Linked DNA regions of Tribolium castaneum. The protein of the gene in region 2 interacts with the protein of the main gene of each other region in a pairwise test. Links are inferred from orthologs where the notes say so. Each region holds a gene or a part of one and is shown on either strand. Other genes may lie near its edges. The genes, in order: Pli and pll.

What was found.
Region 1: the proteins of pll (region 2) and Pli interact in a two-hybrid assay, tested with the Drosophila melanogaster proteins (2 studies listed by BioGRID). The link is inferred for Tribolium castaneum from reciprocal best matches to the Drosophila melanogaster genes pll and Pli.

Annotation. Positions count from the first base shown.
Region 1 is NC_087396.1:20,931,606-20,947,626, forward strand, and holds the end of Pli (protein pellino), read right to left. Parts: intron 14,957-16,021; exon of another isoform or gene 14,587-14,956; coding exon of another isoform or gene 14,576-14,586; intron 12,718-14,575; exon of another isoform or gene 12,676-12,717; coding exon of another isoform or gene 12,635-12,675; intron 8,579-12,634; coding exon 8,480-8,578; intron 6,855-8,479; coding exon 6,623-6,854; intron 6,573-6,622; coding exon 6,378-6,572; intron 6,323-6,377; coding exon 6,032-6,322; intron 5,711-6,031; coding exon 5,495-5,710; intron 5,446-5,494; coding exon 5,330-5,445; intron 5,276-5,329; coding exon 5,149-5,275; 3' UTR 4,434-5,148; downstream 1-4,433. Other genes in the region: Ada2b (transcriptional adapter 2B), read left to right, coding at 148-154, 218-315, 376-435, 488-629, 680-897, 952-1,178, 1,333-1,549, 2,109-2,158 and 3 more. UniProt on the Drosophila melanogaster protein: Scaffold protein involved in the Toll signaling pathway via its interaction with pelle/pll kinase.
Region 2 is NC_087401.1:17,592,584-17,610,149, reverse strand, and holds pll (serine/threonine-protein kinase pelle), read left to right. Parts: upstream 1-7,518; 5' UTR 7,519-7,696; intron 7,697-7,757; 5' UTR 7,758-8,588; coding exon 8,589-8,708; intron 8,709-8,768; coding exon 8,769-9,346; intron 9,347-9,399; coding exon 9,400-10,033; 3' UTR 10,034-10,056; downstream 10,057-17,566. Other genes in the region: WSCD family member AGAP003962, read left to right, coding at 10,737-10,856, 10,901-11,360, 11,413-11,741; Sxl (sex lethal), read left to right, coding at 12,200-12,480, 12,537-12,734, 12,799-12,956, 13,004-13,170; GPN-loop GTPase 1, read right to left, coding at 13,566-13,675, 13,725-13,915, 13,979-14,573, 14,626-14,788; rifampicin phosphotransferase-like, read left to right, coding at 15,307-15,418, 15,469-15,584, 15,646-15,784, 15,833-15,992, 16,047-16,157, 16,205-16,426, 16,474-16,598, 16,652-16,965 and 2 more. UniProt on the Drosophila melanogaster protein: Plays an essential role in the Tl receptor signaling pathway that establishes embryonic dorsoventral polarity; the signal directs import of dl into ventral and ventrolateral nuclei, thereby establishing dorsoventral polarity.

The DNA.
Region 1 (16,021 bases), on a different chromosome or scaffold from region 2:
TTTGCGCCGCATCTCGTGCCTGTGTTTCCCCCAATCGTCCAAATGAACCGATCTGTGGACCACCGTGTCGTTTAGAATGCCCCAGAGCCCGTGAATTGCATTTCTGGCATTGCCCCCCACCACTGGTCATTTTGACGTCGCAAGAAAATGGCTGGTGAGTGACGCTTCTGAATTTTTTTCGACCAAAAACACCAAAAAACCCCTCCAATTATTCCAGATCTCTTTGCAAAAGTCTCTTGTACTTATTGCGAGGAAGAAATCACGGGAATTCGGGTCCAATGCTGCGTTTGCCAGGACTTCGACATTTGCTTGCAGGTAAGTGTCACGTGACCGGGGCGGTGACGCGAAACGGCGCAAAATTTGAAAATTTTTTAGTGTTTTTCAACGGGGGCTGAAATCGGGACGCATAAAAACGATCATGCGTATAAATTTGTGGTAAGTTGCTGTTGCCACACCAGAAATCGTTTTTAAAATTAATTTGGTGTAGGAACACTGGTCGGTTAGTATTTTTGGGGGAAAGGGGAATTGGACTGGAGGTGAGGAATTGCAATTGTTGGATGCTGTGGAGTTGTATGGGTTTGGGAATTGGGAGTTGGTGAGCCAACATGTTGAAACACGGACCCCTGAAGGTATTTTTTTATGGGGGAATTCTGTGAAAATTAAGGAATTTTTTTTGTAGAAGTGAGAGATGAATATATTTCGCGTTATTTGGACGGTAATATTGGAAAAGCCACTTGGGCTGAATCGAGAGACCGTCAACCGATGTTGATTGATCATGTACCTGAAGATAATGGACCATTATCGCCTGCAGTGATTGCAAGGTTGCCACCTTTAGATATAACTCTAGAAGAAGCTCAATTGTTAGGGTATAAACCACATAGGGACGATTTTGAACGGGTATTACAATCAATAATTAATCATTTATATTAATTAATCAATTGCTTAATGTAGGAATATGATATGCCAGCTGAACAACTGGTTTCAACTTTACAATTAGACACAGCTGAAGACACCGAAGTCGAAGTAGCGCTAAAATTATCAATGGTTGATATGTACACTAGGAGATTAAGAGAAAGAGCGAAACGAAAACGAATCGTTCGCGACTACCAATTGGTTGCAAAATTTTTCTCAAACCAAAGAAAAGATTCAAATAAGAGACCTCTAACAAAAGAGCAAAGGTATCAATCTAGTTTTCTTGACAATGAAGGAAGTTTGTCAGTTACCATGGTGTTAAAATCTTTAGTTTACTTTCGTAACTATGGTGACGAAAAACTTCCTTCGTTCATCAAGCAACCCGTGACCAAAACTTATTTAATGTTTGTTCCAATTTAGAGAACTTAGGGAAAACATGAAAGTCTTTAGTCAGTTTTTAACATCAAACGAACATGAACAACTAATCAATAACCTTGAAAGAGAGAAAGAGTTACGTCACCGTTTATCCGAATTGTATAGATATAGAAGTTTAGGTTTAACAACACAAGAGGAAGTGATACATCAAGAACAACACATGGCGTATCAGAAACAACAACAAATGAAACAGAGCAAGTCTGTAAGTATCGCTTGATTGTGCTAAAATATTGCAAGATTTGATGTCACAGCCTTCTTCGTTCTTACGAACTATCAGTATACTGGGTGTTTCAGGTTGGTATTCGCACCCTTGTAACTTTTTTGAAAATAATAATTAATTAATTCCTATTTATAATATATATATTATAAACTTTTAACTAATTTACGTAAAAACACTGTTTTTTGACATTCCTCGTAGATTAAAACCGTATTTAAAACTAATTTGAATAACTAGCCATTTTTTGGCTCTTTAAATTGTTTTCATAGGTTTAAATCTGAAACACCCGGTACATTTTCAACCCTGTACGCTAAGGGGGCTGTGCTTGTTGTGGTTAAATAATAATTGTTGCGTGGATGCAGCGCGAATGTGTCATGTATTACTAATTCATACTTCGAATGCACAAAACTAACGTGATGCACGAATATATTGCTTCATTTCGTCATTTGTTCATACCATCATGGTTTGGTTTGTGTGCAGGCTAGACTCAAACGAAACAAATATGTAAACAGAAACAGATTGTATCAGTTTGCATTTCACTTAGGGCAGCAGTGGCTATCAAATATCAGTTCCGGAGGTGCAGTCAAAAAACGGGTAAGGTTTTTGTGCGTGTTACGATTTTGGCAAATTGTCGTTTTGTTTAAATTTTTAATAGAAAAAGCGAAGAAAACCAAAATTTATCCGAAAAAAAATTCACGTGGTCCGAAGAGCAAAACAACTCGAACTCGGATAATGTAAGACCGCCGTCACCTAATGCCTTACCGTTAGGATCCTTATTGTCCCAACATGAAATACAGGTAAAGTCGGTTTTCCCCGGGTTTATTTTTTATTGGAAATTTTCAGCTTTGCAAGACTTTAAATTTGCAACCCGTCCAATACACCACACTGAAATCGCTTATTATTCAGGTTAGTTGTTTGATTTGTTTGTTTGATTGGGTTTAATTGTTTTTTTTTAATAGGAAAATCTCTTGTCTCCGAATCGACACCGTACCGTTGAAATTGATAAAAATTCGTCTGAAGTTAGTGTTAAAGATGTTGTTACGCAATATCTTAGTCACAGTGGCTGGCTTCCAGGGGTTTCTGTTGTCTGATCTTTGATTATGTAAAATTGGAATTAATTTTTGTTTGTCACGATATTTTAGTTAGCTGGGTTAACACTGATGGGTTAGTGTCTTTTTTAGTGTAATCGACACTTAAAAATTGTTGTAGTGGCATAATTGTATGTTCCTTTATCATGTATTCGGAAGTAAAATTACCGTTGGGGGCGCCACTGAGCTAGGTCGAAAACAGTAACCATAAATGGCGGGAAAATGTTTATTCGGATATTTTGAGCGTTGTACGAATTTTGGGGCTTCACAATTATTACATTGCCTATGCGGAATGATTATTTCATCTTTGATGCAAGAAACTTATGTTGACAAATGAGAGATGACGAGGAAAACACGAATAACGAATGACTGTTTGGTTCACTTTCTTTATTGGAAAATTATTACAAAGACATTGAAAAGCCTACCTTTTGGCATAATTTACGTTTAAATGTATCAGCAGTTGTTAATCTTTATTGTAGTTTTGTAGATTTACCGCAGCATTTCATGATTTTTTCAGTGGAAAATTCTAACCTAAAATTCATAACACTTCACTAATTTATTGGTTTCTTGAGCCAAACTTTGTGTTCGCTGTGATCCATTACTTATAATCTTTAATTAGACAACTGTTTGATAACACTTTGTAATCAAAATTTAAATATTTTTCACTTTTTATCCACTTTCAAGTTCCAACAATAAACACTTTATACCACGAAAAACTACAGAACCAAAGTCAACGCTAGTATTTACCACCACGTACTTTTAAAGTAATTCTTTCTATTGTAAGTAATTAACACTATACACGCAAAATTGTTGAACAATTCATTAAATGTCAGTTAAATGTGGCATTACGAAAATTTCTTTACTGTTTTCGACATAGTTCAAAAGTCATCACCAGAGGGCTTCTAGTTAATTTTGTTTCCGAATTAGGGTGTTGAAAAATTATCAAAGTATTTATTTTTACTTCAAATCATGTTTACATAATTACAGTTAATGTAAGGGTACCATTATTTTAAGACTGTTTGTATATATTGTAGATTTTAGTGAAATTAAAGCAAATGACTGAGTCTGGTGTTTTTTTTACAAATTGAGGTAAGGAAAACTTGGAAATAACGGGCGATAGTATCGGAGTATTTTGCAATTGAAAATTCAAAAGTTTGATTTAGGCGCTGTGACATCTAGTGATTTAATTGTATTAATGTTGGTAATGAAACAATTGGCGGTGGGTCAAATTTAATGGTGGTCGCATTTTCCACAATTTAATTCGAAGAAAAGGTGTTAATGCGTGTATTTTGGACAAATATTTACAGAAAAATGTGAAAAGACTGAGTGTTTCGGTGTGGAGTGGTTAGTCTTGAGAAAAACGGCGGCTTCGGTGTTTTTCAAGTAAGTACAAAATTTGGTTAGTAATGGCTGTGGTAATGGTTAACTTCTAAGACAATTTTTTTTTCAATTTTTATCAAAGACATTATGAGTGAAACTAATATGGATTTAGTGAAAATGTGTGTCTTTTGGTCGTAATTTTTGGGTTCAATGACCCCAACGATGGCAAATTTCCTTAATACGAAATTCACAGCCGCCTAGATCGCAAAAATTATTAAAATTGGCTCACAAAAACGTTTAATGTAAAATTACGAAGTTAAATCGTAAAAAAACGGCGACGAAATGCTGTTAAACACTCGGACTCTTATTAAACTTTCGTAACAAATTCGAGTCCTTGGGGTAATATTTTGTAATATGTTATTGTTAAACATGTTTGTGGGGTTATAAATAACAACAAATAGTTCAATTTTTAAACTTTTTTTAGTGAATCCAGGCACAGATAAATTCATTTCGTGGGACTATAGTAGCTTAAATATTAACTACGGCAACTTATCGTCTAGTATATACAAAAAGTGACTAACGGAGAAACTTACAGGGTGTCTCAAAATTAACGAATTCCGAGTTCAAAGCGTTGTAGAGAATCCCTTCAGTAGTCCCAATGTAAAAACAAAATGAAGATTTGGGACTTCCCCGCAGAGACATTGGTTGAAACCCAGAATCTTAATTTTTTTTTCTATATTTGGACTATTGAAGCAATTCTCTACAAAGCTCTGAACTAAAATTCGCCAATTTTGAGACAGCCTGTTATCACGATAAAATCAAAAAATCTGGGTCAATTAAGTATGTAAAAATATTTTTTTTGAATAAAACATTGCATTAACAGGTCGATTTATATTAAATACTTATTACATTATAAGCTAAATCCTAACCAGTCTTAACGATTCACGCATTTGCACTGTAATAAACCGCAATTTCCATTAAAAAAATCATGATATGATACAACTGCAATTCTCGGCTCGCTCCCATCTTCAAGTGCAATTATATACAATAATTACAAGTAATTACAATTGGGTAATTTCCAAAAAATTAATAAATGAGACTGCTAAAAACCAATTATACATTAAATAAAAGAGCAAAAACATAAATAAAGCTTTGGTGGACTACTCTACATTCCTTTCAATCCACATTATCCTGGAAAATTAGGCGGACGTACCCCGGAGACCCCGCCAGGGGCGAAGCGCAAAAGGGGCACACGGCGTGAAACCCATTCGTACCATGCGGAATAGCCACATTTGCCCAGTACCTGCAATAAACGTACATTAACCCAATCAAAAAATAATAATAATAATAAACTCACTTGACGGTCTTTTCGGTGGCCATGTGCCCGCACGGGTTGAACGCGAACGTCGGGGGCCCCGAATCGACATAAAACGCCGGCTCGAGCCCCATAAAGACCTTCACAACCGGTCCCAACTAAAAAAATACGTCAGAAATTTCGCAACTAAATTGGAAAATCGGTTACTTCTAGGCAAATGGGGCACTTTCGGGCGCCCGAATCCTTGTCTTGGCCCCAATCGTGCAAGCCTTGGACGTGTCCGCAGTTGAGATAAACGTAAGGCTGTTGCAGGTTTTCGTTCGGTGTGACTTTTCGGGGAATGACTAAAGTGTTCAAGCCAACGGGGCACTGCGGGCGACCGGCGTTGATTTCGTCGATTTCGCGCTCCAGGTCGCGTTTGCTCTGAAAATTAGACGAAAAACAAATTGTTTTACCCGCCACTGAGCTGATTTTCTATTGTTATTGTGGCGGTTTTTACCGTGGCAACTGTTTGTTACCACAGTTACAGACATATTGCAGCGCATTTCTATGGCAACTTTAGGAACCCACCCACATGGGCGGCTCGTTTAGATATAAAAGGCAATTTATTTTATTTTTTTCAAAAATTAAACTTCAAAATACCTGCTTGTGATTTTTTGCAAAATAATTAAAAAACATTTTTTGTTAGACGATTAGGGATTCAAAACAAGTATCTTAGTGATGATTATTTAACTGGTCTATTACCGGCGATTTTGTGAGCCCCTCTGCCGACCTCCACAACAGCGTAGCCCCGCACAAATCGATCAAAGTCCCATCTTCCAAAATATTCGTCTCGTTTTCCACCACTTGGCCCTTCTGTTGGGCCGACCTTGACTCCCTCAACGAAAACACACCTCCACCAACAGACGTCTCCAACCAATAACTACACTTGGCATCTCCCCCACAAAACGTCCCTCTTGGATGCATAATTAACACACCATTCGTGGTCAAACCGTCGATTTCGCGCCCGTTTTCCTGCCATTTCGTTGCTTTCTCCTGCAAAAAAAAAAACATCACACTATTTTTTTCCATTTAATCATTGTTAAAATACCCCGAGAAATATGTTTTTGGAGGTGTCAAAACCGGCGGCGTATATCCTCGCAATTTTCGGATTCTTCCTATCGCATAAAATCCGACACGCAAATCGCGATATCGTGCTTTGCATCACCTTGGTTTCGCCAGTCTTGTCCCCGGGGACGGTGTCCATGACCACGAAGTCGATGGGGGCTTCCGACGAACGACCGATCTAAAGAAAAAAATTGGCAACACTCTAAAATGCAAAAAACGCTCAATTACTTGAAACATGTCGGTGTCATCGTCGGGGGTGTATTCCACTATGACGGCATGGTTGCGTGAAAGTGTGTAGGATATCGAGTGCTGGTTTGCGTCCAGGATGGCCTGAGACGAATGGGGCGTTTTGACGACATAGTGTTTCGATCTCTTGACTCCGTTCGCTGTTGGTCGTTTGTACAATACGAATTTGCTACGTCGTCTGCCTCGGTCGCCCTGAGGTAGAAAACCGTTGTATCTAAAGACAGAAAGAATGTCAAGGTGAAAAAAAATCACTCCGAAAGTAAATGAATCAAAGGGAAATATTTATAAGCGTGCAGATGAGCCAAAATAAGCAGGTTAGGTGCGTGGAATGAGGAAACCTACAAGTGTGTAAACATTTTACTCAAAATATTTAACAATCCGGGCTGAAATTTATTTTCAAAAGCGCTTCAAACATTTTAGAATTATTCTACGAAAAATACCAAAATCCACATTTTTTTCGTCTAGTGGCAAAAGTATGTAAAATATTGCAAAAAATGCTAAACAATATATTTGCAAAACGGAATTATATTAAGTTTTAATTTAAAAGTCAAGATTGCCAAATTAAAACCGAATTAAAATCAAAGTAATGTTTTCTCAGTAAATTAATAAATAAATTGGAAAGTGCGAGATAAAAATAATTTCGTGTATTATTTTATTTTATGAATTAGAAAGTTTAAACAAAGCACTGATTAATTACACTAAATGACAATTTTAAACTTTTTTAATAACTGCAATAAATTTACCTCGTTTGGGTTTATTTTATCGAGGTAAGAAAAGAAGAGCCAAAACTTTCTATTACGTATAACTAATTAATCGTTCAGATAGATGTTTCGTAGACAAAAATCAAACTGTATGTAGGAAAAAGAAAACGAAAAAAAAATATATAAGGGAAATTATAAAAAATATGGAAAAACTAAAAACTATTAATACTTTTTTTCACTATTTTACTATGTATTTCAAATAAAAATAATCAATAAGATGCGATATAAAATCTTAAATGTGTAAAGAGGTGAAACAATTTTTTTTCTATTTTAAGTAGGTTCTCGTATTAAATAATGAAAATAAATCAGATATAAGATTAGACCACCATTCAGAGTACAAAAAAATCACGTAACTGAAATTAATCAAATTTTATTACAAATCCTATTCTGTCTCATCATAATCATAATTTGGTAATAAATTTAATTAAACTCAGGATGCTTGCTTTTTTTCACTTTTATTCAAGTAAAATAATAAAAATGTTTCAAAAAACAAAACAATTAATGATCTAAACAAAAACTGTTTTGCACTGTAGCAGCTTATTACTTAAAAGGCTAACTACTAGAAAATAGCATTTATTTACTTATTTTTAACAAAAGTAGAAGCGGGACAACGAAAATGAAAAAAATGGTTTTTTAATTTTATTCTTAGCTGCCAAACAAATGTAACAATGAACCCGTACAGTGAACTTGTGGTTTAGCAATTATTTTACAATGTGTTTCAACAAAAATTCTACTGCGGATAAGATAATAACTTGGAATGAGTATTGCAGACAAAACGGAAGGGACGTCTCGCGTTTTTACCACACAAGGCCAACACACTTTTTTCAACACAAAACCGCAAGAAAGTGGTTCACGGTGACAGGCAAATGATCACGTCCACACTCATGTATTTGTATAATTAAAAAGGAAGGAAAAACGCACGGTTTCTCTAAATAAGCGCTGATTAAACGTGTTACTGGAACCATACTGCACTTAATCGAATGTTTAGAGGTGAATATAGGCAATTGCAGAACCCCTATAAATGTCACACGAGACTTTTCTTTCTAATCGGATCATCAAATCGAAACCTTACACTTACCCTAAAATGACTAGTTCTCCATATTTGACGAGTTGTTTTGGTTTCTCTGAGTTGGCACTCTCTTGTTCTTCTAATATTGGAGACTCGGTGCCATCCGATCTATAAAAAAACACATTGTTTGAGCAAGAAAGTTGGCTACTTTCGTGATTATAATTATGTTCACCAACAGGTCAAGGAAGAAGCTTGACAATAAATAAATTCCCACGTACAAAGTGTGCACGCAGGGGTGCCATTCGTGTGCAACTTTGACCCGTTTTATTAATAATTCGTCCGGAACATCCTCCCCATATCGACCGCTTTCTTCCAATAAGATATGCGATATGTCTTCGCCGAATGATTGATGCCGGATTTAAGGCCGCATCAATACAACTAGAGTTGAAAGTTGAGTCCGACGAAACGAAAAAACCGTAATTAACACCGATTCCGACGTAATTATAGGAATTTTCGCCGGTTTTATTGCCGTTGCATGCTTGGAACTATGGTAACTCCCCGACTTGTTTCAAGTAAATTCCGATCCGTTTTCTTGAGTGGTACGAGGTGGTAGCTGACGCAGTGGCGTAGCTGAGTCAAAAAACAGGCGATTTTTGCTAGTTTTTCAATCGGAGATTCGGTCCCATAGTTTTGCAAGAGCGTAACTCAGGTTTTCATTTCGTTTGATTTGTTTCGTTTCTGATTGATAGCCGAGTAACCTCATGGCGCAAGAACTTGGAAGTGTTTTTTTTGTTCAAATGTAAAAATTATTCTCTCCGACATTAAATCAAATAATTCTGAGACGACAAGAACCAACTTGCTGCAGACTTGTCTCGGAGCCGTAGACAGAGGAACAAGTTTTTAATTAATCGACCGAAACTTCACCTGTCAATGACCAACCTCAAAAAAAAATTCGTAGCCTATCCCCACACAGTACGATTTTTTTCAAGTTTTGTGTGTGTTTTCGAAGGAGATAGTCGGTTATCGACCCTTCCCGATGTTAATAGACCGTAAATAGGACGCGACTCCTCACATAAATACACGTATAAAATCCCCGACTGACCAGGATCACGTCTTACATAAGACGCTCTATTAAAAGCAGCAACAGCAACGATCTGGAACCGAAGAGATATTTCCTGAAAGCAGGCATCGACTTTTATTTTCATTTTCTAACTGTGCATTCTGAATGCTGAAACCGTTTCCTGCTCCGACTTTAGTTTACAAAGAGATGCAAACACCTGCATCTGATATCAAATCAACAACAATGCGTACGTATTTATTTGGACAAGAGAATTATTTTTTCGGGTTGAGTGAACCGGTAATTACCCCACGGACGATGCGTGGTCGACAAACTAATGGACCGTTGTCTAAACTTGGTAGAAATATATTCATTCCACTGACCCTTTAATTACAAACGGACCGGAGAAAATGTATTATTAACGCAGGAATGTCGGCCACGTTCGTCGCATATTTTCCGGGGAAAATCCGCAGTTTTCGATTTTCCGCCCACTGATCATTTAGTTTACTTGATTGGCTAATCACCTGTCAAGTGGAAAAAGGTCGCAAGTTTCCTGGCTTCTCACATTTCACCTGCTCCCAAATTGTTCCAATTAATTACAAAAAACCAAAAAAAATCAAAACGGTGATAATTTGCTTCATTCCAACTTGACGATAAAATGGAATTTTATCCATGTTTACGTCATGACATGACATGACAAACATTGGCATTTTTTTGACGCTTATAATTCGGAAGTAAAATTACCGTTGGAGGCGCCACTGAGCTAGGTCGAAAACAGTAACCATAAATGGCGGGAAAAATAAAATTAATGTTTATTCGGATATTTTGAGCGTTGTACGAATTTTGGGGCTTCACAATTATTAAATTGCCTATGCGGAATGATTATTGCATCTTTGATGCAAGAAACTTATGTTGACAAATGAGAGATGACGAGGAAAACACGAATAACGAATGACTGTTTGGTTCACTTTCTTTATTGGAAAATTATTACAAAGACATTGAAAAGCCTACCTTTTGGCATAATTTACGTTTAAATGTATCAGCAGTTGTTAATCTTTATTGTAGTTTTGTAGATTTACCGCAGCATTTCATGATTTTTTCATTGGAAAATTCTAACCTAAAATTCATAGCACTTCACTAATTTATTGGTATCTTGAGCCAAACTTTGTGTTCGCTGTGATCCATTACTTATAATCTTTAATTAGACAACTGTTTGATAACACTTTGTAATCAAAATTTAAATATTTTTCACTTTTTATCCACTTTCAAGTTCCAACAATAAACACTTTATACCACGAAAAACTACAGAACCAAAGTCAACGCTAGTATTTACCACCACGTACTTTTAAAGTAATCCTTTCTGTTGTAAGTAATTAACACTATACACGCAAAATTGTTGAACAATTCATTAAATGTCAGTTAAATGTGGCATTACGAAAATTTCTTTACTGTTTTCGACATAGTTCAAAAGTCATCACCAGAGGGCGTCTAGTTAATTTTATTTCCGAATTGTCAATCAAAATAAATAACTCGTAATCCAATCAAAATTTTTTAAATTCAGTTTGTCCTTTATCACCTGAGAGATTATTCCACTCTTTTGAATCTCACTGTATTTTAAAAAAAAAATTATAGTATACATTTTCAACTAATTTCTAAGACGAGCATGTTCCAAGTTAATTCTTATTCTTGAATAACGTGTTAATATTTTACAGACATTCTTGAAGCGCTCTAAATACGGTTTTATCGAAAGCAGACTTGTAAACGATATGATAATTAAATTATTAACAAATTATAATTAAATACTCATTGGAATGTGTTTACTGGGTGAAGGTCACGAAATATACGTTGACAAGAATTATATTTTACCCAAACAAGTGAATCTATAATCTGTTATAGTGAAGATACCTAAACAAAAAACTTTGTTGTTGCATTTTTAGGAAAATTTCGAAGGCTTTTCTGTATCTTTGAAAAAAATCCATTTCCCTTCTAATTAGCGAGAAACAGAGACATAGTTGTCGAAATGATAAACAAGCTTTTGTCCTCTCTCCGACATTAATGGAATTACACACACACTTGTCGAAGAACGGTCGTTTCTGGTACCCATTGTTTAAAAAAATAAAGCGTGTTGCAATAACTTAGCCGCTAACAAGAGAACTTGCGTTTGTTTTTATTAAAATAATAAACATTACGACATTGTATAAGCTTGGTATACGCGGTGTTACAGTTTCTAATTTGCATTCGATGAGAAACGTTACTTCAATTATAATCTCGTTGAGTGCATGGTTGCGGGTCGTTTTGTTGACCCGAGGAAACAACTCCGAATCATGATTTGAAAAACCTTTCACCCGTCGAGGCACAAATTCGAAGGTTTATTACTAACCTCTTTCGTTAATGACCATAACACCGATAAAGGAAATTAACCAAATGAAAAAACGCAAAACTTATTTGGCAATTATCCAAAAATCGATTGCTCATTAATGGAACACGGAAAATCCACTTTTACATTTTTACGTACGTAAGTCGGACAATAGCGCGGCCAACGGTTTATAACAACGAAAGAACGAAGAGGAAAAGGTTGTACTGCCCGGGGCCCCGTATTACGTGCGGCATATGTTCAAAAAATCGAGTAGCTGTGTGTAAAATAATCGAAAAAAATGAAAATTGTTGTGGCGGGTAAACATTTTCGAAATTATTGGATGAATTATTTATTTGTGACCGTTTTTATTCAAATTTGTTCCGTTTCCTTGAATCGTAATAACACAATAAAGCAACAACAAAAAAAGACGACGCAGCGCGTTATCGTGCCAAAAATAAAGATATAAAACCTTCATCATTGTTTTGATCATTATCGCGTGCAATGCTCTCGCCCGATGATAGAAATTACCTTTGGACGTCATTGACTAATTGGCGCTTGAAACGGTTATTAAACAAAGAATTTGAAAAATTCCTCCAATTTCGGTCGCGAAAGTGAGTCAAGATTAATAAACTGTATTAAAATATTTATGCGAATTTGTTCACGTAGCGAGCCTGTCGTAACTAATGACATGCATTTTTAACGTGTATTTTCATCGGGGACTAGGGACAAAACGGGTTAGAAACTAGGGGAAAAGTTCATCTGGACACGCTCTCCAAGCACACCACACACACACAACACTTGGAATAAATACTTGATGAATATCGAATCGGACAGATATTTCAAGCAACACATGCTACCAGCACTGCAAAGACTAACACAACTAGGGTTTTTCGCGTTCAATATTGACGATAAGCAATGTTGGCGAAAAAAATATTTGTTCTAGTCTTGATAATTTTGAGGACGACCGGAACAATCGACGTTTCGTTGCTTTTATCCGAGTCATTCTCTGACGCAAATTTCCATAAAAGATCGATTTAACAAAGAGAAAAATGGTGGTGCGTGCCCGCATTACTCAAGTGAATAAAAAGTATAATCCAACCGTTGGTCAATGCCTAAAAAAATAAACAAGAAACGACGGCTTTTACCAATTCAAATGGCCAGGAGCGAAACAAAGTTCAAGTAGCAGGTTAATTATTCCACATTTTTAACCCGTATCTGCAATTACAGGCGGCGCAATCTCAACATTTAAAGTTATTCAAGAAACAAAAAACTGAAATATTTTTTTATATTTTTATTTGAACACCCTGTCATATCCCTAGGTTGGTATAGTTGCTAAAAAATGCACTGACGTATGTGTAACTATGGTAACAAAAATTGAAACGTCAGAGTAAAGTCAGTGGAGTTTTTTTATCATTGCTGTACATCTCCTGAAAGTTATTTTGACACCAGAAAAAGTTTCTCGCTATTAAAAAGGAGAAACGAAAGTCAATTTTAATGTATACTTTGGTCATATTTTGCCGAAAGTTAAAATTTCCTAGAGCAAAAAAAATTGGCATTGTCTGCTCGTGATTCCTTTCCCCATCACTCACAGATAATGAACAACTTTTTTTTACTTGTATAATAAACTATTTTTTTTATTTTATAATTCTCTTTCAAATTTCTATATATAGTATTGTTGCTGAAGGTCTCAGAAAGTAAGATCTTTTTGTAGAAAAATAAATCAGTCGATACAAATATTTAAACTGAGATAAAAACTGACCTGTGAGGTAATGATTCAATTTAGGAACAACCAATTGTTTATTACTTTTCTTAAAAATTCAATTTCAAATTTTGCATTCACGCATTTATTTATAAGCGAACTGATTACGTTCGGAAAAATCTTAATTTCTCACTTATCAAAAAACTCAGAACTCAGTATTTTCGACCATAGTTGGAAATTATTTGCCGTGTTGGAAGGAAATTTCGCACAATAAGTGAGTTTTTGAACTCAAAATAAAGTAATTCTTGACGTAATTATATAAATGTTTGGGTTAAAATGCAAAAAAAAAATTTGCTTGTGGACTTTGCATTAGTTCTCAGTTCCACTACTCTACAATTTGTAAGAGTGACTGGTATTTTTCTGTTGTGATTCATTCAGTTTCTTGCAATTTGTGACCAACTACCTCTAGAATTAATCTTTGGTTTTCAGTCCTTAATCTTCGACTTGGAATATTTATTATCTTGCGAAACAGATAAGCACTTCCTCTTGTAAAACTCAAACAAAATATCGTCAAACGAGGTTAAAAACTTGCTCAATTTTGTATGAAAATCTCAATTACTCACGCTAATAAGCACGTGCATCATTAATAGCTATTTGTAATGTATAATTCATGAAAAACATGCTACGACTACACCAATGAGATCACTGATAAATGGTAATTAGAAATGTACAGTCGTGACCGAGAATTTTGGCCAGGCCGGCAACTAATGGCCAAAACTTCCTAGCGGTACTGTACCCACATGTGACCCAAAATTGTCTAATTTTTCGATCACGTCTTAAGGCACACCGTTAGGAAAAGTGGACTTTCGTCCCTTGTTATTGTCAACAACACGTGTGAACGCCCCTTTAGCCAGCGATAAAAAATCGCCGATCGTTGACATTTCCAGTGACAATCAGGCGTCGCGATGGCCCTTTGTCGTCATAATAATCGCACAAAATCAATAATGAAGCGATTAAATCGTGATGAAGTCCCCTCGTGGTGCCAGTACCCACCTTTTCACCATTTCTGAAGCCGTCTTAAACAGTTTGGCTGCGATTGTCGTATTCGAAACGCATAAAAATATCAATCACTGGTGTCGTTGCTTCACTAAAAACATCACTAGAGCCGCCGATTCGTGCATGTTTATCACTGGTGGCACACGCATTCACTAGGCACGGCCGTCTTCGTTGCACTGGCGGACGCTTTCACGGAGGTTTCGCACCGTTTGCGATGAAAGCACGACTTCCAAGGGGAAAAACACGCACGGTGATGCTTTTCCACGGACACTCTCCGCACTTTTACCGATAACAATGGCGCGGTGGATGGATGTCGATCGTGGGGGACGTCGACGGTGGGATGTAAACATTGGGCGAGTGCTGACATCTGCTGGGACCGGAAGTGAAAAAGCGAAATGACAGACGACAGTGGCGGGGTGCACGATTTTGGCGAATTTTTGAATGTCTTTATTGACGATTCATCGACCAAATCTATTATCACCTTGTCAGCGTAAATGCGAAATGGCCTAATGCAAAAAAGGCGGTGGGAAATTGCAATGGTCAGGGCCGGCTTTCAGGAGTACCAACGCTACCAACATGGTGTCGGAATACATTTTCTCTTTGTAATTTTACTGAACTAATAAATTAATAAATAAATTAAATTAATCAGACTTTAGGGTGTAACAATAGACATTATAAAAATTTGGAAGATTTAGATCAAGATCAAGAAAAACTTGTTACCAGTGAAAACTATTTTATTTCACTTTAAAGTGACAAAAAAACATCGCGGCTAGACATAATTTTAATCTACAGGGGTGCCAAAGAAAGTCTTTCTTTGGCATCTTTTTTTTAATAATATGCTCCAAGGAGCGATAATTTAGTACTAAAAAGAAACACTCTGTAGAGTTATTATTTACCGAGAATGACGAGAATTTATTACGATAATGAAGTTTACAAATCGAGCCGTATCCGAGCTTTTTTCGCGTATACTCACAGATTTAACTAAGATAAAAGCAAAAATGAACAAAATTGCTTCTGAAATGTGGTATTTTTCCCTATTTTTAATATTTCTATCGGGTTAAAGCATTTTTCGTCTATAGAATTTCTCTAAATTTTGCAAAACAAGGCCAACAAATATCAAATTCACGTTTGAAATACGATATTGTTTTAAACGATCGGTTTCAAAAGAAAATATAAATAAATGTAAAGGCCCTGATAAGGTTTTTGCTAAAGTGTTAATTGGCACTATTTACTCACCCTGAAAATTAAAATTGTGCATGTTCATTTTTTGGCTGCTGGTAATTTTATTATTTGAAAAAAATATTGGGGCCTTTTTTTCAAAATTCTGAAAAATTTAGCTGACTAATCATAGGCAAGGCCAAAGTGGTGAAATTCTCACATTACCTATTCAAAAATTAAGTCTTAGGCAGTTCATAGTCAACCATTCTTATCACATCGTTATCA
Region 2 (17,566 bases):
AAATTCATAACTCAAAAACTAAAAGTCGTAGAGCAATGCGGTTTGTTCCATTGAATTCAGCGGATCATTTTCTGTATTATACGAACTTTTCATGAGATTTAAAAAATTTATTTTTTTTTGCTAAAATTTCCTGAGTAATACACATACCTTCAGAAAATAAAAAAATAAAAAAATTTTTTAAATTCGTTTTATCATACTTTTTCGTATTTATATATGCCTTTACAAATCTCTAGAGTTGTTAAAAGTCCAAAAAAAGTCCATATGTTCAATTTTTTGATGTTTGATTTTTTCAATTTTCGTCGCAATTTTTGTCGATTTTAGGTACCCGGAACATTTGTTGAGCAATAGCTCCGGAACTATCAGAGATAACCCCATGAAGTTTATTATTGTTGGAAAGCTCTTTGAATTATCTATTTTTTTCAAAAAAAATTATTGTTCTCCGACTAATAGTTTTTGAGCAAATTGCAGATAAATGCAAAAATTGGTAAAATTTTAAAAAATTCAGAATTAAAAAACCATTGGGAATTTGGCAATTTTTTCGATGCCAATCGATTCCCCGGATCATTTTGCATAGGTGTGGATCAAAACAGTCCCACTTTTTCGAATAGTTTAGTCGTAATTGGGAAAATAAAAAAAATTAAAAAAAAGTTAACACCCCCCCCCTACAAAATGGTCAATTTTAAAAGTGTCTCAGAATCGAATAAAACCGATTTTATCTTATAGATTTTGATGTGCTCTTTCCGATCTAAAAAAGCGATTTCACCTAGCTCTTTTAGTTTGGCCGTAATCGGCCTTTGAAAATTGAAAAATTTTTTGCGAGATATCGCCTTGAGTCCTATGCCATTTTGTAGTGTTTTTTATTCCGGTTATCCTTTATTTTTCCGTTTCTTGATATCTTTAATAGTTTCGCCGTAATTGGCGATCGAAAATTGAAAAAAAGTGAAAATGAAAACCTTTTTTTGCGTTTTTCTCGGAAACTGTAAGACTTAGAGCAACGAACAAAAAATCATTTGATAGCGCTTAATTTTCTCTATTTTTTCGATTAAACCCGGAGCCGCTCCGGGTAACGGTTCCGGCTACAGAGGCGATCAAAGTTTTTCACTAAAAAAATTCATAAAAAAAAAACTAAAAGTCGTAGAGCATTGCGGTTTATTCGATTGAATTCTACGGCTCATTTTACATATTATATCGATTTTTCACAAGAATTAAAAATTTAAAATTTTTTGACTAAATTTAGGGTAGCCATTTGTCATAGTGGAAAATTTTATCCAACAAAAAAATTCATAACTCAAAAACTAAAAGTCGTAGAGCAATGCGGTTTGTTCCATTGAATTCAGCGGCTCATTTTCTGTATTATACGAACTTTTCATGAGATTTAAAAAATTTATTTTTTTTTGCTAAAATTTCCTGAGTAATACACATACCTTCAGAAAATAAAAAAATAAAAAAATTTTTTAAATTCGTTTTATCATACTTTTTCGTATTTATATATGCCTTTACAAATCTCTAGAGTTGTTAAAAGTCCAAAAAAAGTCCATATGTTCGATTTTTTGATGTTTGATTTTTTCAATTTTCGTCGCAATTTTTGTCGATTTTGGGTACCCGGAACATTTGTTGAGCAATAGCTCCGGAACTATCAGAGATAACCCCATGAAGTTTATTATCGTTGGAAAGCTCTTTGAATTATCTATTTTTTTCAAAAAAAAATATTGTCCTCTGACTAATAGTTTTTGAGCAAATTGCAGATAAATGCAAAAATTGGTAATATTTTAAAAAATTCATAACTAAAAAACCATTGGGAATTTGGCAATTTTTTCGATGCCAATCGATTCCCCGGATCATTTTGCATAGGTGTGGATCAAAACAGTCCCACTTTTTCGAATAGTTTAGTCGTAATTAGAAAAATAAAAAAAATTAAAAAAAAGTTAACACCCCCCCCTACAAAATGGTCAATTTTAAAAGTGTCTCAGAATCGAATAAAACCGATTCGATCTTATAGATTTTGATGTGCTCTTTCCGATCTAAAAAAGCGTTTTCCCCTAGCTCTTTTAGTTTGGCCGTAATCGGCCTTTAAAAATTGAAAAATTTTTGCGAGATATCGCTTTGAGTCCTATTCCATTTTGTAGAGTTTTTTATTCCGGTTATCCTCCATTTTTTCGTTTCTCGATATCTTTAATAGTTTTGCCGTAATTGACGATCGAAAATTGAAAAAAAGTGAAAATGGAAACCTTTTTTTGCGTTTTTCTCGGAAACTGTAAGACTTAGAGCAACGAACAAAAAATCATTTGATAGCGCTTAATTTTCTCTATTTTTTCGATTAAACCCGGAGCCGCTCCGAGTAACGGTACCGGCTACAGAGGCGATCAAAGTTTTTCACTAAAAAGATTTATAAAAAAAAAACTAAAAGTCGTAGAGCAATGCGGTTTGTTCCATTGAATTCAGCGGCTCATTTTCTGTATTATACGAACTTTTCATGAGATTTAAAAAATTTATTTTTTTTTGCTAAAATTTCCTGAGTAATACACATACCTTCAGAAAATAAAAAAATAAAAAAATTTTTTAAATTCGTTTTATCATACTTTTTCGTATTTATATATGCCTTTACAAATCTCTAGAGTTGTTAAAAGTCCAAAAAAAGTCCATATGTTCAATTTTTTGATGTTTGATTTTTTCAATTTTCGTCGCAATTTTTGTCGATTTTAGGTACCCGGAACATTTGTTGAGCAATAGCTCCGGAACTATCAGAGATAACCCCATGAAGTTTATTATTGTTGGAAAGCTCTTTGAATTATCTATTTTTTTCAAAAAAAAATATTGTTCTCCGACTAATAGTTTTTGAGCAAATTGCAGATAAATGCAAAAATTGGTAAAATTTTAAAAAATTCATAACTAAAAAACCATTGGGAATTTGGCAATTTTTTCGATGCCAATCGATTCCCCGGATCATTTTGCATAGGTATGGATCAAAACAGTCCCACTTTTTCGAATAGTTTAGTCGTAATTAGAAAAATAAAAAAAATTAAAAAAAAGTTAACACCCCCCCCTACAAAATGGTCAATTTTAAAAGTGTCTCAGAATCGAATAAAACCGATTCGATCTTATAGATTTTGATGTGCTCTTTCCGATCTAAAAAAGCGTTTTCCCCTAGCTCTTTTAGTTTGGCCGTAATCGGCCTTTAAAAATTGAAAAATTTTTGCGAGATATCGCTTTGAGTCCTATTCCATTTTGTAGAGTTTTTTATTCCGGTTATCCTCCATTTTTTCGTTTCTCGATATCTTTAATAGTTTTGCCGTAATTGACGATCGAAAATTGAAAAAAAGTGAAAATGGAAACCTTTTTTTGCGTTTTTCTCGGAAACTGTAAGACTTAGAGCAACGAACAAAAAATCATTTGATAGCGCTTAATTTTCTCTATTTTTTCGATTAAACCCGGAGCCGCTCCGAGTAACGGTACCGGCTACAGAGGCGATCAAAGTTTTTCACTAAAAAGATTTATAAAAAAAAAACTAAAAGTCGTAGAGCAATGCCGTTTGTTTTATTGAATTCAGCGGCTCATTTTCTGTATTATACGAACTTTTCATGAGATTTAAAAAATTTATTTTTTTTTTGCTAAAATTTCCTGAGTAATACACATACATACCTTCAGAAAATAAAAAAATAAAAAAATTTTTTAAATTCGTTTTATCATACTTTTTCGTATTTATATATGCCTTTACAAATCTCTAGAGTTGTTAAAAGTCCAAAAAAAGTCCATATGTTCGATTTTTTGATGTTTGATTTTTTCAATTTTCGTCGCAATTTTTGTCGATTTTGGGTACCCGGAACATTTGTTGAGCAATAGCTCCGGAACTATCAGAGATAACCCCATGAAGTTTATTATCGTTGGAAAGCTCTTTGAATTATCTATTTTTTTCAAAAAAAATTATTGTTCTCCGACTAATAGTTTTTGAGCAAATTGCAGATAAATGCAAAAATTGGTAATATTTTAAAAAATTCATAACTAAAAAACCATTGGGAATTTGGCAATTTTTTCGATGCCAATCGATTCCCCGGATCATTTTGCATAGGTATGGATCAAAACAGTCCCACTTTTTCGAATAGTTTAGTCGTAATTGGGAAAATAAAAAAAATTAAAAAAAAGTTAACACCCCCCCCTACAAAATGGTCAATTTTAAAAGTGTCTTAGAATCGAATAAAACCAATTCGATCTTATAGATTTTGATGTGCTCTTTCCGATCTAAAAAAGCGTTTTCTCCTAGCTCTTTTAGTTTGGCCGTAATCGGCGTTTGAAAATTGAAAATTTTTTTGCGAGATATCGCCTTGAGTCCTATGCCATTTTGTAGAGTTTTTTATTCCGGTTATCCTACATTATTCCGTTTCTCGATATCTTTAATAGTTTCGCCGTAATTGGCGATCGAAAATTGAAAAAAAGTGAAAATGGAAACGTTTTTTTGCGTTTTTCTCGGAAACTGTAAGACTTAGAGCAACGAACAAAAAATCATTTGATAGCGCTTAATTTTCTCTATTTTTTCGATTAAACCCGGAGCCGCTCCGAGTAACGGTACCGGCTACAGAGGCGATCAAAGTTTTTCACTAAAAAGATTTATAAAAAAAAAACTAAAAGTCGTAGAGCAATGCCGTTTGTTTTATTGAATTCAGCGGCTCATTTTCTGTATTATACGAACTTTTCATGAGATTTAAAAAATTTATTTTTTTTTGCTAAAATTTCCTGAGTAATACACATACCTTCAGAAAATAAAAAAATAAAAAAATTTTTTAAATTCGTTTTATCATACTTTTTCGTATTTATATATGCCTTTACAACTCTCTAGAGTTGTTAAAAGTCCAAAAAAAGTCCATATGTTCGATTTTTTAATGTTTGATTTTTTCAATTTTCGTCGCAATTTTTGTCGATTTTGGGTACCCGGAACATTTGTTGAGCAATAGCTCCGGAACTATCAGAGATAACCCCATGAAGTTTATTATCGTTGGAAAGCTCTTTGAATTATCTATTTTTTTCAAAAAAAATTATTGTTCTCCGACTAATAGTTTTTGAGCAAATTGCAGATAAATGCAAAAATTGGTAAAATTTTAAAAAATTCAGAACTAAAAAACCATTGGGAATTTGGCAATTTTTTCGATGCCAATCGATTCCCCGGATCATTTTGCATAGGTGTGGATCAAAACAGTCCCACTTTTTCGAATAGTTTAGTCGTAATGGGGAAAATAAAAAAAATTAAAAAAAAGTTAACACCCCCCCTACAAAATGGTCAATTTTAAAAGTGTCTCAGAATCGAATAAAACCGATTTTATCTTATAGATTTTGATGTGCTCTTTCCGATCTAAAAAAGCGTTTTCTCCTAGCTCTTTTAGTTTGGCCGTAATCGGCCTTTGAAAATTGAAAATTTTTTGCGAGATATCGCTTTGAGTCCTATGCCATTTTGTAGAGTTTTTTATTCCGGTTATCCTCCATTTTTCCGTTTCTCGATATCTTTAATAGTTTTGCCGTAATTGGCGATCGAAAATTGAAAAAAAGTGAAAATGGAAACCTTTTTTTGCGTTTTTCTCGGAAACTGTAAGACTTAGAGCAACGAACAAAAAATCATTTGATAGCGCTTAATTTTCTCTATTTTTTCGATTAAACCCGGAGCCGCTCCGGGTAACGGTTCCGGCTACAGAGGCGATCAAAGTTTTTCACTAAAAAAATTCATAAAAAAAAAACTAAAAGTCGTAGAGCATTGCGGTTTATTCGATTGAATTCTACGGCTCATTTTACATATTATATCGATTTTTCACAAGAATTAAAAATTTAAAATTTTTTGACTAAATTTAGGGTAGCCATTTGTCATAGTGGAAAATTTTATCCAACAAAAAAATTCATAACTCAAAAACTAAAAGTCGTAGAGCAATGCGGTTTGTTCCATTGAATTCAGCGGCTCATTTTCTGTATTATACGAACTTTTCATGAGATTTAAAAAATTTATTTTTTTTTGCTAAAATTTCCTGAGTAATACACATACCTTCAGAAAATAAAAAAATAAAAAAATTTTTTAAATTCGTTTTATCATACTTTTTCGTATTTATATATGCCTTTACAACTCTCTAGAGTTGTTAAAAGTCCAAAAAAAGTCCATATGTTCGATTTTTTAATGTTTGATTTTTTCAATTTTCGTCGCAATTTTTGTCGATTTTGGGTACCCGGAACATTTGTTGAGCAATAGCTCCGGAACTATCAGAGATAACCCCATGAAGTTTATTATCGTTGGAAAGCTCTTTGAATTATCTATTTTTTTCAAAAAAAATTATTGTTCTCGATAACTCTAATAGTTTCGCCGTAATCGGTAGTCAAAAATTGAAAAAAAGTGAAAATGGAAACCTTTTTTTGCGTTTTTCTCGGAAACTGTAAGACTTAGAGCAACGAACAAAAAACTATCTGATAGCGTTTTCTCTATTTTTGCCGATATCTTCTGAACGATTTTTGCAGATTTGGATTCCGCTACGTTAGAAACACTACGTTACGTTAGAAAAACTTAATCATAAGAAAATTCTCGTGAAAAGTTGGTATAATACAGAAAATGAGCCGCTGAATTCAATGGAACAAACCGCATTGCTCTACGACTTTTAGTTTTCGAGTTATGAATTTTTTTGTTGAATAAAACTTTTCACAAAAAATTTTAAATTTTTAATTTTTGTGAAAAATTGATATAATATGTAAAATGAGCTGTAGAATTCAATGGAACAAACCGCAGTGCTCTACGACTTTTAGTTTTTTTTATGAATTTTATTAGTAAAAATCTTTGATCGCCTCTGTAGCCGGAACCGTTGCCCGGAGCGGCTCCGGGTTTAAACAAAAAAATAGAGAAAATTAAGCGCTATCAGATGATTTTTTGTTCGTTGCTCTAAGTCTTATAGTTTCTGAGAAAAACGCAAAAAAAGGTTTCCATTTTCGCTTTTTTTCAATTTTCAACCGCCAATTACAGCCAAACTATTTGAGTTATCAAAAAAACGAAAAAATCGAGAACAACCGGAATAAAAAGCTCTACAAAATAGCATAAGACTCAAGGCGATATCTCGCAAAAAAAATTTCAATTTTCAAACGCCGATTACGGCCAAACTAAAAGAGCTAGGAGAAAACGCTTTTTTAGATCGGAAAGAGCACATCAAAATCTATAAGATAGAATCGGTTTTATTTGATTTAGAGACACTTTAAAAATTTACCGATTTTAAGGGGGGGTGTTAACTTTTTTTTATTTTTTTTTTATTTTCTCATTTCTGGCTAAACTATTCTAAAAAGTGAAACTATTTTGTTTCATACCTATGCAAAATGATCCGGGGAATCGATTGGCATCAAGAAAATTGCCAAATTCCCAATAGTTTTTTAGTTATGAGTTTTTGAGCATATGATCTAATTTTTGCTTTTATTTGCATTTTCTCGAAAACTATTAGTCGGACAACAATATTTTTTTTTGCAAAAGATAGATAATTTAAAGACCGGCACTCAATAGTTTGACAATATTTTTTTGACAACCACCACCACGAAAATGTCATTTATAAGTGGCAAATTCAAACCGTGGGATTTTAAAGGAAAATTACAAAGTTTGACATGTAGTGATTTAGTGAGAATAATGATTTTTCGAAAATGTTGTTTTTGTGTGCCTTTACGGTGTGGTGCTGCTATGTTACTTGTCCTCCAAATGGCATGTTTGACGCCTTATACGATATACAATCCCACCGCAAAACTAATTTTCATCTCAATAGGAATCATGATCCTTTTGGCAACAGCTGCAGTGATATTTATGTGGGCTATTGTATGGGAAAAACCTAAATATCTTTATGCAACACTTGGATTATCACTGGGATCCATCATTTTTTATTTTGCCACAATAGATTACGACTATTCTTTTAAGACATCAACAACACCCACAACAAAGAAAGAAGGAACTGTTCATTTAATCCTCTTGATTAATAACACCACAGGAATATTAACATATTTTTATTTTATTTTTATGTTATACAATACATATGTTAAGTTACAACATAAAGCTAGAAAAAAACAACAATCTACTGTACTACCACAATAAACCATTTGTTAATGTGTCCGGTTTTGTCTTTTTACCACGGTCGGACTTTGCCTTGAGTTGCGTGAGTTAAAATCCATGTATTTTTCGGGTCTTTAACCATTGACATTTGTTTATGTCTACCGTGAGTTTTACAAAGGACATAAAGACGTTGCTCTCGCATCACAAAATAGCAGTCTTTACAACGTCTATGCAGCTTTCCTTTTACTTTGAAACCACAACACTGTGTTTGGTTGTAATTCACAGCGGCTAAAAGTTTGCTCGGTGATGTTGCAATCGACGGCGTAAATATGTGATAATTCTTGGAAGTTGCAACAACAACAAAGGGGCACTTTCTAATCACATTAATTACATTTCGAATGAGTGGAAACATTTTGTGAAAGATGAGGTTAGAAAACCGCTTAGGGATTTATCATTAGAAAAGTTACTAGGATTGGTGACAGACACTGCTGACTGTCACTGCTTGTCAATGTAACATAACCCAATTTTTTTATTGTTATTTTTTTTAACGATGTTTATTTACGATATGCCGTTTCTCGAACGTAAAAAACTCTGTAGTATTTTGGATCGGAATAATTGCTTTGAGGAATTAGCTGCGGTTCATATGCAATTTGATTCTGAGACGGTCCAAGTGAGTAAATTCGTATTTACTCTAAAGATACCTAATTAGCTTTACCTAATCCATTTTCAGAAAATTAGTCGCGAATTTTTCAGAGGCATTTCCCCAACTGAAAAACTCCTCGACTTATGGAGTCATCACAACCATACCGTTTTTGAATTGTTTATTCTCTTGTATCGAATGAAACATTATCAAGCCATGACAATCCTTAAACCACTTGTCGATTCAAAATATCATCATTTGATTAAACAAAGTACTTGTCTTCCTGAATTAATGGCCGATTTAAAATTAGAACAAGAGCCAATAACAAGTGAAAAAATACTAAACGCTCCAAGTTGTGAAAACAATGAAACAAAGCCCCAAAAACCAAACGGAATCTCGCTTATTTCTTGTGTGACGGAATCTGTGGGAGCTGTTCCTCAAATTCCCTATGATGATTTAAGACAGTCAACAAATGATTGGAACACTGGATCGATTCTGGGTCGTGGAGGCTTTGGGACGGTATTTAAGGGTGTTTGGAAGTGCACTCAAGTTGCTATTAAAAGAATTGAGAAAAAAGCGGATGACAATTCGGATCAAATTTTTCAATCCTATACAGAATTACATTGTTTGAATGCATACAGACACGATAACATTTTGCCACTTTACGGGTACGTATAAACCAATTCAAATTAGACATGAAATATTTATTATTTTTATTCAGGTATAGCATTGACGGACCTCAGCATTGTTTGGTATACCAATACATGTCCGGGGGTTCCCTCGAGCACCGTCTCCACATTCGTGATGCGTCACGTGTCCTTTCATGGCCAACTCGTCTCACAATCGCAATTGGAACCGCTCGAGGTCTTCAATTTCTACACACAATTCGTGACAAACCGCTTATTCATGGCGACATCAAGTCTGCCAACATTCTTCTCGACCTAAACGAAATCCCTAGAATTGGGGATTTTGGTTTAGCTCGTGAAGGGCCACCACAAACCGATTATGTTAAAGTGAGTCGTATTCATGGAACGAGGCCGTATCTTCCTGACGAATTTATGAAATATAAAAAATTTTCGACCAAAGTTGATACTTACAGTTTTGGAGTTGTTTTATTCGAATTGGCGACAGCTGGAGCTGCTTATTCAAATAAAAGGGTGAACAAGTTTTTGAGAGATCATGTCGTGTTTTGGGAAGGTGATGTGTTACAATTGAAAGATTCAAGGGCTGAAGGAGGAGAAGATTTTTTTAAGGGATTAGTGGAAGTTGGAAAAGGGTGTGTGAGGACGGGGGCAAAGGACCGACCGGAAATGGTTACGGTTTTATTGCAATTAGAAGCTGTGATGAATCAATAAATTTTTACATACATTTTTTACAATTGTTTCATTTCTCTAATCAACATTTTCCGTCAATTACTTTTATAATTTACGGCTATTGATAATCGCATTCTACACAAGGTTACAAGGTTATTCATTTCGACTAATTTTATCAGAAAAAAAGCAATGTGACAGTTGATCGGTTTTGTGGACACTACTACAATTCAAGGATTTCTTTATTGTATAATAATTAGTTTTCAAGTTTTCATTAACAAATAAGGTTTGTTAAATCTGCTGTTGGCTTTTAATTTTTGTCATTGCAGAAGAAAACATTTTGAGAGTCACTGGTCGACGACGCCTGGGACGTCTCGCTCTATCAAAGTGGGCAAGACGACGCCCTATTAACGTTACGACCACCACAGTTGTTTTTCCAAAAATATTATGTAGTCATCATAAATCAATTTACATGTAACAAAAAAAATATGGGAGTGCAAACCTTCCATCAAACAATGGATAATCGAATAAAATTGTAGAAATTTTAAGGTGAGTGAGTGTTTGGCAATAAAACAATTACGATTATCGATTTGTTTGTGTTTTTCAGGCTTCCAAGATCACGCGCGCGATTTACAACAAACAGTATTACAAAATTGATAGCAATACGAATAAATAAATTTTTTATAAGAATTTTGTTTAAAGAAAAATATTAAATAATTGTTAAATTTCCAATCAAAATAATGGACAAATGCATGTCACTAGAGTTAGATATTGGATCTTGGCAATATTGTTGTTTTTATATATAGCAGGCGTCTTATTTCTATCAGCGGTCACTCTACATGAACCCAAAAATTTAACACACGGAAAAGTAAGTAAAAATGATAATTATTGGTGTTATTTAATTGTTTTTAGCAAACGGACCGTAATCAGCCCTTTTCCCGTCTAAAAAACTATGAATATGGAATACCAGGACTTAGACCACCTCTTCGTGGTCGTTCCAAAATCCAATGGTGTTCCACAGAGCTGAAATACATCCATCCAGCTATACCACCCGTCGCCTTGGTATCATTTCCGGGAAGCGGAAATACATGGTTACGTTACTTACTTCAACAAGTTTCCGGTTTTTACACCGGTTCGGTTTACAAAGATTACGGTTTGTTGAAAAATGGTTTTCCCGCCGAAAATATCGCCAACGGTTCGGTTCTTGTCGTAAAAACACACGAATGGGGTTACAATGCTCGGAAAATCTTTTCGAAAGCGATTATATTGGTTCGTTCACCGGCAGCTGCGATCCAAGCCGAATTTAACCGACAAAGCGGTGGTCACATTGGATTTGCATCACCCGATAGATACAAACGGACTAAAGGAAAATGTATATTATTTATTGTATTGATAATTTTTTTAATAACTTATACTTTTATCAGATTGGCAACAATTCGTCAATGATAAGCTCGAAGCTTGGAAACAAACCAATCTCGACTGGTTATATAATTTTACAGGACCAACGCACGTAATTTTTTACGAGCAACTTGTCGATAATCTTGAACACACCCTCAAGACGATTATAAATTTTCTCGACATATCAACGGATGAAAATTTATTCAAATGTGCACTTGAACGAAAGGAAGGAATTTATAGGAGGAAACGTCGAGTGCTCAATTTCGATCCATATACGGACGAAATGAAACGAAAACTGGATAAAATACAAAAAAAAGTCTACGAGGCGATTTATAATTTTGCGACGCCGAGTTAACAACAACGTTGTTGCGACAATAAGGCCTTTTTAAAACGAAACGAGTGGCCAAATTTTTCTAGTATCTCTCTTATTCATGTAAACAGTGGCAATCAACACACGATTATAGGCCTAAAATAAAATTATACAAACACAATTTTGCGACTTATTTTCATTGCTCAAATTTGAATTTACATTAATAATAATAAAAGGTTGAGAATCGCTGAACTCGTAAAGTGATTTATCATTTTTCGACGTTGGTAATTCTGTTCCCACTATCATCAATAAATAATCAAGTTTGTAGTGGTAGAAAATTAGTTCGTTTATTTATTTTTCAAGTTTTTTCAATAAACAAAGGTAAGCCCCTTTATCCCGCCAATTTCCAGTAAATGATTATGTTTTTGTCGTACTTTTTACTCGATTTCATCCTCCTAACCTCTAAATGACACATGGCCATTTTGTTTCAGTTTTTTGAAAAGATGCAACAAGAGAACGCCGCCAACGGCCCCCAAAATGATTTAAATGTGGGGGCCGGAGATCAAGTCGAATGTGACAAATCGAAACTTATCGTTAATTACATCCCACAATTCGCAACTGAAGAGGATTTAGCTCTAATTTTCACTCCCATCGGACGAGTGGAAAGTATTAAAATAATGAGAGATTATAATACGGGCTATAGTTTCGGTTTCGGTTTTGTCAAGTATTTCAACGAAGAAGATGCCGCGAAAGCGATTCAAGTTATCAACGGAATGAATTACAAGTAATTGAAAATTTAAGATTAGAACTGTATTTATTACTGTTGCTATTGTCTTGTAGAAACAAACGCCTGAAAGTGTCATATTCGCGTCCTCCAGGTGCCGATATGAAAGCATCCAATTTATACATCACTAACTTACCCAAAGACGTGACTGAGGACGATGTTCACAGACTCTTTTCAAACTATGGAGAAATCATCCAAAAGTCCGTTTTAAAGGACAAAATTACCGGAATGCCACGTGGAGTTGCCTTTGTCCGGTATAATAATGATGATAATAATAATTATTAAAACTTTGTAAATAATAATTTGTTTTTCGTTTAGTTTTTCGCGAGGAGAAGAGGCCAAAGCTGCCATAGCCGACCTTGATGGCAAACTGCTTGAAAACGCAATGCTTCCGTTGAGTGTTCGCGTAGCAGAAGATCACGGCCGTCAAAAAGCTCAATATTTGGAAAATTGGAGTTTTTCAATGCACAACAGGGGTAAGAAACGGAGGTTTTGACTTAATTTTGGCATTTCGGGTGTTTAGGTTTTGTACCACCGTTTCGAGGAGGGACAATGAATCCCTTCAGGAAAATGCCACCACAGCCGCCTGATAATTTACAAAACCGTAATCGCTTCCAAAATTATAATTCGAATAATGTGAGAAATATGGGAGCAGGCGATAATTATCTACAAAATTCGTTTTTTTGTTAATTGCTTCATTTTTTCTTTTTTGTTTCTGACTGAGAATGGTTTTTGTGTTAATTGAAGAGTTGATTTTATTTTACAAAGTTTCTATATTTATTTTTATATTGATAGAAAAGCGTGCCAACTAATTGTATGTTGAACGCTAAATACAATAGACATTTATTTATTTATTATTATATATATTTATATAAAATAGGAAAAAATATGTACGCAATTGATGTGCCTAAGAAAAAACTTAACACCAGCTATGGTTTTTTTTTTCTTTTTGACACACAAAATGTGTTAATTTTTTTCTTAACCAACGATCTGAATAATTTATTGTAATTTATTTCTAGTTTCAAGTGAATAAAATTTTAATTGTTGTTTTCTATATTTTTTCCTTTTATTTAATAAATTACCTACTAGGTTTGGTGTTTCTTCATCTCTGCTTCTTTTGCCCTTTTCACTTGCATTTCTCTTTGTTGTTGTAGCACTTTTTTAAACACATCGTCTTCTTTTTCATTATCAACATCTAATAAAAGAATCAAATCAAATAATAAATTAATCAAACAAGTCCCTACTTTGTTGATATGGAGCCGCCTGTTCTTCACCCTCAGAGTCTTCACTACTGTCATTACCTGGATGTCTTAGAAAAACATCAGACAATTCGGCCCCAGCCGACAACGTAAAACATTGTTCATTATTTTTCGATTTTTCCAATTTTTGTGCTTCTGATTGTTGTTTTATTTTCAACCATTCGCTTCTATATTCACTAAAATAGATATAAATAAATAAATATTCCAGTAACTACAAAATATAGAAATAAAGTTATTACGTTTCGTATAAAATCCTAGCTTCGTCTATTAGTTTATATAAATCTTCAAGTCCTTGTCCTGTGGCAGCGCTTACTCCACAAACTTTTAAATTTCGGTAAAACTCATCCAATGTTAAAGCCATAGACCTCGTCAAATTGCTGATGTAGCTTTCGTCGTCAGCAGCTTCAAGTGCTTGTTGAAACGACTCAAAATCGGTCATCCAATCAACAGCATATGAATGATCAACGATATCAACTTTATTCATAACAACAATGAAAGGAAGACGCGTTTTATACAAAATCGAGCAAGCGTAAAGCATGTTTGACATAAACGTAACAGGAGAAGTACTTCGCACACAATCAACAACGTATAAAATGATTGTTGGTAAAGTTGAAGCCAAAGTTTCGGTAATAATCGAACCCGAAACCGACCAAGTAAACACCTCAATTTGACCAGGAGTATCCAAAATGCACAAATCATGATTCGACTTTTCAATAAAACCAATCACTTCAGAGAATTTCGTTGAAAATAAGTTCAAACTTGTGACGATAGCACCATTAGGGCCTAATTTGTACTGCTTCATAACCTCCTTGTAATTTACCGTATCTCTAATATCTGTAATTTAACATTAAATCCCAAGAAAACTTTGACGCCCGCGAATACTTGCCAATATTAGCGAAATAGGGTAAATTGAAACAAGCAGGGTCCAAATTCACAACGTACGGTTTTTTCGGAGAATTTGATAAGCGAGTAACAAGACAAGTTTTGCCAGAACCGGCCATTCCAAGCACTATTACACTCACGGGAGCTTTGCCCCCCGTTTCGGACATTTTTCATAAAATAAAGTGGAAAAAAAGTTTGGTTAGCTTCATGACATTTGACAGTTGGAACAGAAGCTGTGTATTTAGGTTCAAACAATCTTTGCAAATTTGTGCCTCAAGACAGAAAATTTTTGATTGTATATAATAACTTTTAAATCAATTCATGTAATCGCTTTTGCACTAACTGGATTTAAAAAACCCATAATTTAATTTTTACAAATTCTCCAGTGGCGTACTTTCTGGGGTTCTTTTTTTGAAAATTACATTTAAATCACAAAAATGTTCACTTCCGTTTCGGAATGATGGCATTGACCTATGATACTAATACTTTCATGTAATAATAAGCAATGCAATTATCTGTTTGGCCTTGATTTATGTTTACATCACTGATCTGTAAATGTGTCTCTATCCAACTCCAATCCAAAGTGCTCACGCAGATAAGTTAAAATTTCAAGTTTAGATAATAATTATTATTATCTCAAACACCTGTTTGAAACATTTAATCGAAATTACTTCTAGTCGTGACCATGGAGCTCTTACTCAATTTTTGTTATTACGTAACACTTTTTCTAATTCCGATCTCACTCTACGTTCTTGTATTCCAACATCGGACAAAAAATCGTTTTTACACAAACCGAGGTATTTATTTCTTTCCATAATTAATTATGTATTTACTTGATTAATTTTAGATTGGTTTTATATAATTAAATTCCTAATCGCAAAATCGGCCGTCAAAAAACATCAAAACAAATTCAAAACAAAAATTAACATAACCGAAAGTCCAATAGAAATTCGGACGGAAAATGTAAAACATTAAACTAATCTATTAGATAAGTTAGTATCAATTAATATAATTTTTTTTACAGTACTGTGATAATTATTTTATATATGGAGCAGATCAAAAAGGCAATAGTCTATCGTTACGTTTTATAATTGGGTCAGGTCTAGTAGGCGAGGTTTTTCTTTGTTTACGGCTTTCAACAGGCGCCATCTATACATTTCCTGGTAAACAATAATATTAACATATCTAACTGTAATTCTATTAATAAATAGGTGAAAAAAAGACAAAACAGTATAATCTATCAGATTGGCATTGGAAAACAAAAGACCTCCATTTGGAAATTCTGGAACCATTCAAACGTCACCGAGTGACATTTAATGGATTATTGAGCAACGCCACCAACGATATTGAACATGTCAGATTCAATTTGACGTAAAAATCAAATAAAATTAATTGGTCATATGATTTAAATCATTTTTGTTGCAGTTGGATTGCAACAAATGCTCCCCGTTTTCATCCCCAAGACGCCGCCACTGACTTACTCACCAATGCACTTGCACAGCACCCGTGGCGTGACGGTGATTGGCTATCACTGCTGTAAGAATAACCAATCAGATGCAATGTTATTGAATTTTTATTTTAAGAGGGGATGAATGCGGGTACGAACAATTCGGTGCTTTACACGGATTTATCAGAGGCGACTCGTTTAAAGATGACTTTTTTGTAAATTTACCGTCATGTCGGACAAGGTTTTGGGGTACTGCGGAAAAATTGGCCGTGTCAAAATGCCTTCATTTATTTGTTGCCGGCCATGATGGTACTTTGATTAGTATTTGGGTAAAATCATTGAAACATGGTTGCCATGGGTAAATTCCAAATTTTTATCTCCAGATTTTAGATAATTTAATTTTAGACTACAATATGGTAATGTCGTGATGACTAACGGTACCATTCAACCAATTACAGCAAGCGATATCAGATTTGATTGTTTGGGACAAAATAGCCAACTTCCCGAAACTTTTCTTATACATATTTACGGTAAATAGTAATAAGTTCACATTGTATGAAAAATATATATATTTTTTTTGTAGCATTGAAACAAACTTTCAGAATAGTTTTCCATACAAACACGATTAAAACAATTGTAGACGGGCATGACCTGTCAAATATTCCCGCCGATTGCGATTTAAATACCCAACAAGGTAAATCATTGGTTGAATTATGGCAAGGCGTAAAAAACACATCACGTGACAAACCACTCAAACCACTTTTAATCGAAAATAAAAGCAAAACATTACCAACGTGTTACGTGATCTCACTCGACGACGAATCAGCAAAAATTGTGAATTTGAGCGGAGGTAAAGGTTGTTCATTGGCAATGCTCACATGTTTGAAATCAGATGACGTAATAAAATTTTAAAAAATATGACAGAACCAAACACAATCGTTGCATTTCTAGTTTATTGTTCCTAATGGATTTATTATAACAGTTAATGCTTTCAATAAACAATTAGAAATGAATTTTAATATGAAGAAGGCAGTGTCTATCCTTGATGACATTTGTTGTGGGCGGAGCTTAGGCGATTTGGAGCACGCTTGTGCCCAGTAAGTTTGTACATATTTTAATATTTTTTTTCTCTCACTTATTTCTACTTTCCAGAACAATTAAAACCTTTGAAAGTGAAAAAATAATCCCCGAAGTTGCTTCGGTAATTTTGCAGGCTTTCCGTAATCTCAAGCCCCGCCCCACTGATCGATTTGCTGTCCGTTCGTCGGCAATTGGTGAAGATTCAGAGGATTTATCGGCAGCTGGTCAAAACTCCACCTTTTTGGGATGCTCCACCTTCGCCTCCATCCTTCAGTCAGTCTCCGCCTGTTGGGCGTCACTCTACACCAATCAAAGCGTGCGTTACCGCCATAAACACGGCATAGCTATCCCATCACAAATGGCCGTTGTTGTGCAAAAAATGGTACAAGCAGATTGTGCCGGTGTGTTATTCACTTGC